Linked DNA regions of Oryctolagus cuniculus. The protein of the gene in region 1 purifies or fractionates together with the protein of each later gene. This does not show direct contact. Links are inferred from orthologs where the notes say so. Each region holds a gene or a part of one and is shown in the gene's direction. Other genes may lie near its edges.

What was found.
Region 2: the proteins of DUSP8 (region 1) and MAPK8 purify together in Homo sapiens (affinity purification with mass spectrometry; 3 studies listed by BioGRID and IntAct, counting the BioPlex papers as one, with this or other methods). This does not show direct contact. The link is inferred for Oryctolagus cuniculus from reciprocal best matches to the Homo sapiens genes DUSP8 and MAPK8.

Annotation. Positions count from the first base shown.
Region 1 is NC_091432.1:1,916,195-1,920,007, forward strand, and holds part of DUSP8 (dual specificity protein phosphatase 8), read left to right. Parts: exon of another isoform or gene 1-1,523; intron 1,524-1,848; 5' UTR 1,849-1,930; coding exon 1,931-2,161; intron 2,162-3,511; coding exon 3,512-3,650; intron 3,651-3,813. UniProt on the Homo sapiens protein: Has phosphatase activity with synthetic phosphatase substrates and negatively regulates mitogen-activated protein kinase activity, presumably by catalysing their dephosphorylation.
Region 2 is NC_091446.1:81,421,155-81,424,967, forward strand, and holds part of MAPK8 (mitogen-activated protein kinase 8), read left to right. Parts: coding exon of another isoform or gene 1-39; intron 40-392; coding exon 393-464; intron 465-1,769; coding exon 1,770-1,952; intron 1,953-2,245; coding exon 2,246-2,370; intron 2,371-2,895; coding exon 2,896-2,959; intron 2,960-3,813. UniProt on the Homo sapiens protein: Serine/threonine-protein kinase involved in various processes such as cell proliferation, differentiation, migration, transformation and programmed cell death.

The DNA of each region.
Region 1 (3,813 bases):
GGAGGAGCCTCAGCCCAGCCCCTCCATGCAGAGAGAAGGCTTCTGAGGGGGTAGATGCAAGTGGGCTGGGAAGCACCGGGTAGGGTAGGGCTGGGGGTCACCACGGGGTCCCCGGCCTGCCGGCAGAGGCAGCGGGTGAGGACGGAGGAGGATGACCTGCCCACTGCAGAGGATCCTGCTGGCGGCTGCAGCCGCAGGAGCAGCCGTTGCCTGGTGCCTCTGCTGTTGCCATGGCGACAACGGAGGTGCTAACTTGCTAATGAGTCCCCTCGGCTGCAAATAACAATACTAGGGTGGTTAATAGGGCCACGTTCCAGCGCGAGTGTTCCTGGGGAGGCAGGGCCAGCCAGGTACGAGGCCCCAGAGCCAGTCCTCCCGCCCCCCTGCAGCCCCTGCCCCCAGCCTGCCTTGTCGCTAGGGCTCAGGTGCCCCCCTCCGCTGGCCTCGATGCCCATCGGTAGATCTGCACCCACGTCGGGCAGTGTGGATGCCAGGCCCTGTGCTGGGGGTCCTGCTGGCTTCTGTTTGAGCTGAGGGACAACCTACCCACTTAGCAGATGAGCACATTGAGGCTTTGGCTCCCTGGTGTCCCCTCCCCACTATGGCTCTCTCAGGTGCTGGGCAGGGGTGGGGGTGTGGAGGGCAAGTGGCTGTGGCCTGTCACCACTTCCAGGAGTCACCTCACTGGGCAGGGACCCCCTCAGGGCAGAGATGCCCAGGGCAGGCAGGGACCCCTCAGTGGACCGGGAGCCCCTTGTAGGTGCAGCCTGGAGGGCAAGTGTCTGGGAACCGACCCCTAATCCTTGCCCACCGCTCAGAAGTGCCACGTTCCTCAGTAGATTTACCCTGTCTCACTGGCCCACGGGGCAGCAGGAGGCACCCCAGGCTACAGGGGAGGTGGCGGGGACTGGACACAGAGACCCCAGCAGGCGAGCAGAGGGGCCGGGGCTCACCGCGCGGAGGGGCTGGGAGCTGCCCCAGCAGTGGGCAGGGCATGCCGACCTGGGGTCAGCTGCATCATGGCTGCTATGGGTGACATGTGGACATTGTGTTTCTCCTACTGCTGCCTTGAGCCTCAGTTTCCCGTAGTTAATTCAAACTGTGTCTCCTTGGGGGCTGTGAGGCTCGGGTGGGCCTAGAGCAAGGCCAGTCCTGGCAAGTGGTGGGGAGCTTGGGCCCTGCAGGGGCGGGGGCGCAGGGGCTGCCAGGGGCCCCAGATACCAAGCTTCCTCCTACTTCCTCCATGCACCCCTTAGCCTGAGGGTGTCTGAAGCCATCTGAAAGCCCCGGCACCCCAAGCATCCCAGGTACACTGACCTTGGTCCTAAGGCTGCCCTCACTCTGTGAGGCAGGAGTGGCCCCCATCACAGTGCCCAGCCCTCCCACCCTCCTCCAGGAGCCCGTCAGTCCAGTCCCCACTGTGACCAGGATTATCGGCTTAGGTCAGCCGCTGTGCACACTAGGCTGGTGGTGGGGAGCAGGGGAGATGCCGAGGCGGGGAGAGGCAGGTTGGAGTGCGACAGGCAAGTTCTCTGCTTTGCCAGGGGCCCTGGGAAGCCTCGGAACCAGAGAAGGGAGAGGGCTGCATCCAGGTGTGGATGAGCCGTCCTGGAACTGTCAGTCAGTGAGCCCCAGGGCCCCGTGGAAGCTCCCCCTGGCCCGACCCGGCCTGAGACCACCCACCTGGCCCCGCCGTGTCCTGCTGAGAGGCCTGCAGGATAGCTGGGCAGGGCTCCCACGGACCCTCCCAATGCGATGAGGCCTCAGGTCACACTCGGGGAGGGGGGCCCCTGACACTGGTGCATCCCTGGAGCCCCGGGAGCTCTGACCGCCCTCTTCTCCCCTCAGGTCTGCTGCCATGCGCTAGGGCACTCGGGACGCGAGGCCACACCCTCCTCACTCCGGGGGTCAGCCTGCCCACTGCCCCACCATGGCCGGGGACCGGCTCCCGAGGAAGGTGATGGACGCCAGGAAGCTGGCCAGCCTGCTGCGGGGCGGGCCCGGGGGGCCCCTGGTCATCGACAGCCGCTCCTTCGTGGAATACAACAGTTGCCACGTGCTCAGCTCCGTGAACATCTGCTGCTCCAAGCTGGTGAAGCGGCGGCTGCAGCAGGGCAAGGTGACGATCGCCGAGCTCATCCAGCCGGCCGTGCGCAGCCAGGTACCCGGCCGTGGCCGCACCGGAGTCCACAGCTGAACGGGGGCCTGGGACCAGGCAGCGAAGCCGGGCTCCAGGATGTCACTGGGGAACCTTGCCCCCACTCCCCACGTGCTCCTCAGCACTGCAAGGTGTCTCCTCCAGGGAGGCCCTCCTGCCGCATCTCCCCAGCCCCCTCTTTCCTGAGCCTGCTGACCCCACCTGGGGGTCCCGGGCTCCCCGAGTTTGCCTCCAAACACCCAAGGCAGGTCGGTGCCCCCAAGGCCCAAACAGGGCTCAGAAAGGAGCCTGCTGAGTAGAGGGAGGTGGGACCACGCAGGGGTACAGCTGGACGCAGCTGCTCTGACCTGTGAGGACAGGGTGGGGGGCTGGCAAGGGGACTGCAGTCTTTAGGGAACATTGTCCCAGCTCGTTCCTCCCCAGGACCGCCCAGCTAAGGGGGCCAGGAGGCCGGGGCCGGGGACCCGTGCAGGTGCCCCCCCCCAGGCCTCCGGCGGGGCACGGGGCACATGTGGCAGCCCGGGACCTGGTCCCAGGTGGGACGGTGCATTTGGCTGTGCCCCCACTCCAAGCCACAGCAGGCTCCCTGCCGCTCCAGTGGGGGGAATCTGGTGATTAATCACCCCCAGCGAGGACTCCAGGCCGGAGTGTGAGCCTATTGGCTGCTGGTGACATCATCCAGCCCGGGTTGGCGGCTCAGCTGGCTTAAGGGCTGAGTGTGCTGGGGTGGGGAGGGGGGGTGGCCGCTGCTCTCTGAGCAAAAGCCGCTTAACATCTGGCCCCATGGCCCCTCCCTCAGAGTGGGGGAGGGGAGGAGGAACCCCAGCCTCCAGCTGCTGCCTCCGGAGTGGGGGTGGGAGACACTCCTGCTGCAGCCCTCAGGGTCTCCACGGGGCTGAGGAGGGAAGGAGAGGCCCAGCAGCTCCAGCGAGACCCCCACCCAAAAGACTTGCCCAACTCCTCTGCCTGTGCCCAGGCCCCGGCCATGTGCCCTGTCACTCTTGGTGCCCAGCAGGTGCACCCCCCCCCAGCCATCACCTGCATCTGCTTGACGCCAGCCTGGCCACAGGGGACACACGTGTCCCCCCTCCCCTGTGTGGCTGGAGAGGGCACGAGCCCTCTCTGTGCCTCCCCGACCCTGTGGCTATCTGTGTGGGCCTGGACATTTATACCTATCCAGGTGTGAGCACACCTGTGCCCCCAGCAGGCAGAGAGTGTGTGGGCGTGGGCAGGGCACCTGCCATCCCCTCAGGCAGCAGCCCTTTCTTTGGGCAGGGGTGGGTGGGTGGCAGCAGGGGGCTGGGCTGTCAGACAGGTGCAGGCAGCCCTGACCGCTGCCCTCACGGCCCCCAGGTAGAGGCCGCGGAGCCGCAGGACGTGGTGGTCTATGACCAGAGCACGCGGGACGCCAGCGTGCTGGCCGCCGACAGCTTCCTCTCCATCCTGCTCAGCAAGCTGGACGGCTGCTTTGACAGCGTGGCCATCCTCACAGGTGAGCTCCGGGGAGCCTCCCTCTCCGCAGCCCCCTTGCAGCGTGGCAGGGCCCGAGGGCGTCTGCGGAGGCCACGTCTGTAGGGGCCCAGGCAGGAGAGCAGGGGGATCCCTGAGAATGACTCGCTTGTGCAGGGGCGAGCGACCGGGAGAGACCCTCTCTG
Region 2 (3,813 bases), on another chromosome or scaffold:
AAATGGTTTGCCACAAAATCCTCTTTCCAGGAAGGGACTGTATCCTTGTGCTGCTGCAGCAGTTTAGTTAGGTGATGGACTTCCTTCTGTTCTCCAATGAAAATAAGATGCTACATTCATACATACCATTTTTTAAAAAACAGACGTAAAGTTTGTGGCTGTTATAGTTCAAAAATTGTTGATAAGAAACTGAAATATTCATAGGCTGCATCTGGCAGCAGGACATACAGTCTCTGCTGGTAGTCAGAGCACATTCACTGTCACTCATTTTTATTTTATACTGCTTTTTATAATTTGAAAGTATACATGGTGTGCGTGACTTTTTTTTAATGTTTATTTTTTTTTATTTTAACCAAAATCTTTATGTTAATGTCATTGCATTTTGTTTTCAGTTGACATTTGGTCAGTTGGGTGCATCATGGGAGAAATGATCAAAGGTGGTGTTTTGTTCCCAGGTACAGATCGTATCCTTATCTTTGGCCTAAAGTGTAGTTTCTAAAGGTCAAAATGTATGACAGCTGGGTCAGGTATAATGCATCTGTCTCTCCCTAATATAAGCATTGTTAAATTATTCTTTCAAAATACCACCTGCTATTGGCATAGACTTCTCCTTTCCCTCATTGATTGTTTCATAAGTTAATACTGAAACCTGCTCAAGTGTAATCACCCATAATTACTGGCTGGCTTTGAGTTGATTTATTGAACTAAATCAAAAGTCATGGCTTGCATTAAAAATTTCTAATAATACACTTGAGTAAGTCTAAAAACACCTACAACTTAATATGAATTTTGGAATTATCTGTTGCATCTGGCCATCCTTCTGTTTTGTCTGTTCCCCCCCACACTTTTTGTTACTGTGTGTATTTGTGTTTTTTGATTGTTGTCTCATCACTCAACATACTGATTCTTTCATCTGAGAATTTCAGCAGCAGTAGTTTTATGTGGTGGTGGTTAAATTTTGGTTCATGCTTTTTGTTCATCTGACTGCTTTCCATATTCATATTAACACTGATCTCTTAAGTTTTTGTTAACTGGTAATGCTTAGAATTCTTTAGGGAGGAAGAATGAGAAAGGTCACTTTGAGTTTTAGAATGAGGACTTCAGGGTCTTGGAATTCTGTAAAAGCTAGGAAAAAGGAAAACAGGGAATCCTAACCTTAAAATTTATTGAAGTTGCGGATCTGTTTCATAAGTTTCAGAACTTTACAGAAAATTAACATCGGATAAATAAAGAATGGCAAAGGAAAATGCCGCTTTTATCAAAGCCACAATTTTTCTTGCTACTGATTATTCTCTCTTGGTGTGGAAAACTCAAAGGCAAAACAGATTGTAGAAATATTTCTTATTCTCTAGGAAATGCATTCAAATTTTCTGATAATTTAGAAGAAAATGGCAATTTTGTATGTTAAAATTATGTATAGTTTACATTTAGAATCCCAGTGGATAGTAATAACCATGAGTTTTTTGTTTGAGTTACTTATAATTAATGTTTACAGTGTGGTCAGGTTCAGCTTCTGCTTTTATGGTGAAATCAGTCTGTACACACACAGACACACACACAGTCAACAGGGTCGGCAGAGCTCATTCACTGATCGTTTCTGTCACCTACCGTCAGTGCCTTTTGCAAGGTGGCTGTGAGATACAAAATTTATAACCGCCACATTCTTTCTTGGGATTTTAGAAATTTCCATTTTCTTGTATTTTAATGTGGATATAACTAATGTGTCGAACATTAGATACAGAGTATTTTTCTTAGCTACTTGATATTAGATATTGATCAGTGGAATAAAGTTATTGAACAGCTGGGAACACCATGTCCTGAGTTCATGAAGAAACTACAACCAACAGTAAGGACTTACGTGGAAAACAGACCTAAGTATGCCGGATATAGCTTTGAGAGGCTCTTCCCCGATGTGCTTTTCCCAGCTGACTCGGAACACAACAAGCTTAAAGGTACTTTTTACAAACATGTCGTCCCATTTCATGTGTGGGGTGTGTGCGTATTCATATTCTTATGGGACATAAACCCAAGGTTATCTGTGGATGGTGGGATGAAGTGAGGTTTTAGTTATTTTTATCTTTAATTTTATATTTCTAATCCTATGTATGACCTGATGCTATAGTAAAATTTATTGTTTTTAAAACATAGGCTTTTAAAATAAAAGATAATATCAGGTTTCTGAAAATTTATTGATAAATTGAGAACCTTTCTGAGTACAAGCATGGTAACATCATTATGTTTACAGCCAGTCAGGCAAGGGATTTGCTCTCTAAAATGCTGGTGATAGATGCATCTAAGAGGATCTCTGTAGACGAAGCTCTCCAGCACCCATACATCAATGTCTGGTACGATCCCTCTGAAGCAGAAGCCGTAAGTTCTTTCTTAATGTTTGAAGAATATGCTGCATTTTTAGAGTTGGCATTAAGTTACATTTGCAGGAGACCTTGTACTTTTAAGTAAAAAAATAGGAATGTTATAATGGTGTTTTCTATTTTTACATGAAGAGCGCCTTAAGCTAAGGTCATGTCCAAGCCACACCTATACAAAATCAAGTCACCCCCTAGTATTTCTTGCCTTGATACCTGATCAGAGGGACAGAGAGGCTAGGATATTGAATGCTCTGGGAAACGTCTTACCTTAGAAAAAAATTATCTTATCCAAAGCCTTGCAAAGTTCTGTGATATAAATGTGCAACAAAGTCAAAAGCTGGAGCAAAAGATAAGCATCATTCTTTCTGCAGTGAAGGAATCTTCCAAAACTGGTCTGTCTATATATATAAGAAGGTTGTTGACGATTGATCAGTCTTGGTCTAATGGTGCATTTTTACAAGTCTCCTGTCTGATTGATAATACTCCCAATAAACTGTCTCCATTATTGTTGCTTTGTGTTTTCCAGCCACCACCAAAGATTCCTGACAAACAGTTAGACGAAAGGGAACACACGATAGAAGAATGGAAAGGTAACATTTATCAGATTCTTAGAAAATTGAAAGAGCTTCTGCCTCTTTGAAATGTGATTTGTTCATCATGTTAGGGAAATTAATGATATTTTTCCATTATTCATAACTGGTATTTATTGATAATATGATACCTAATGTTTTTACAACAGTGGAAAGTATGTCCCTTTCTCTCACTGACCAAATTTTAATTTTCCAAGTTCTCTACCCAAACACAAATACACATTAGTGTTTCTCTTGAATTTTTCCTTAGTCTGTAAAAATGCAGCTGTATTTGGTGTATGCCCTCTCCCTTCTCCTACCGTTTGTAAGTCACAGATTGTTCTACACTATGTGTACTATGCACACTTGCCTTGTTGCAATAATCATACATCTTGAAGGTGTTTCTCGGTTCATGTGACTGCCCCATTTGGTTCTGCTCTGTGATGTATCACAATTTCTATATCCAGCTGCCTCTTGAAGAGCATTTTCATTGAGTCTAGTCTATTACATTGATAGACAACTCTACAGTATTCCTGTGCACATGCGAGAATAGGCCTTTAAGAAACATTCCAGGAAATGTGCTGTGTCAAAGGATATTTTTCAGTTATTTCTAACTAATCCCCACAAAAATTTTAGTTGTATCATATAGCTAAGTGTCAGTCAGTGGTTCCCCCTCCCTTTTCAACAGAATGCTAACAGATTAAGAAATTAATAGTATAGTAATCTTTTCTGTTGTATGACTGTAGTTGATAGTCATGCAAATATTAATTCTTCTAAAGATTTGGAACATTTGGGCTAGCTAATTTTTAGATCCCATTTACCGCGTTTATATTGTTTGTCATTTGGTGTTTTAACTGCTTTTCTAATTGTGCAAC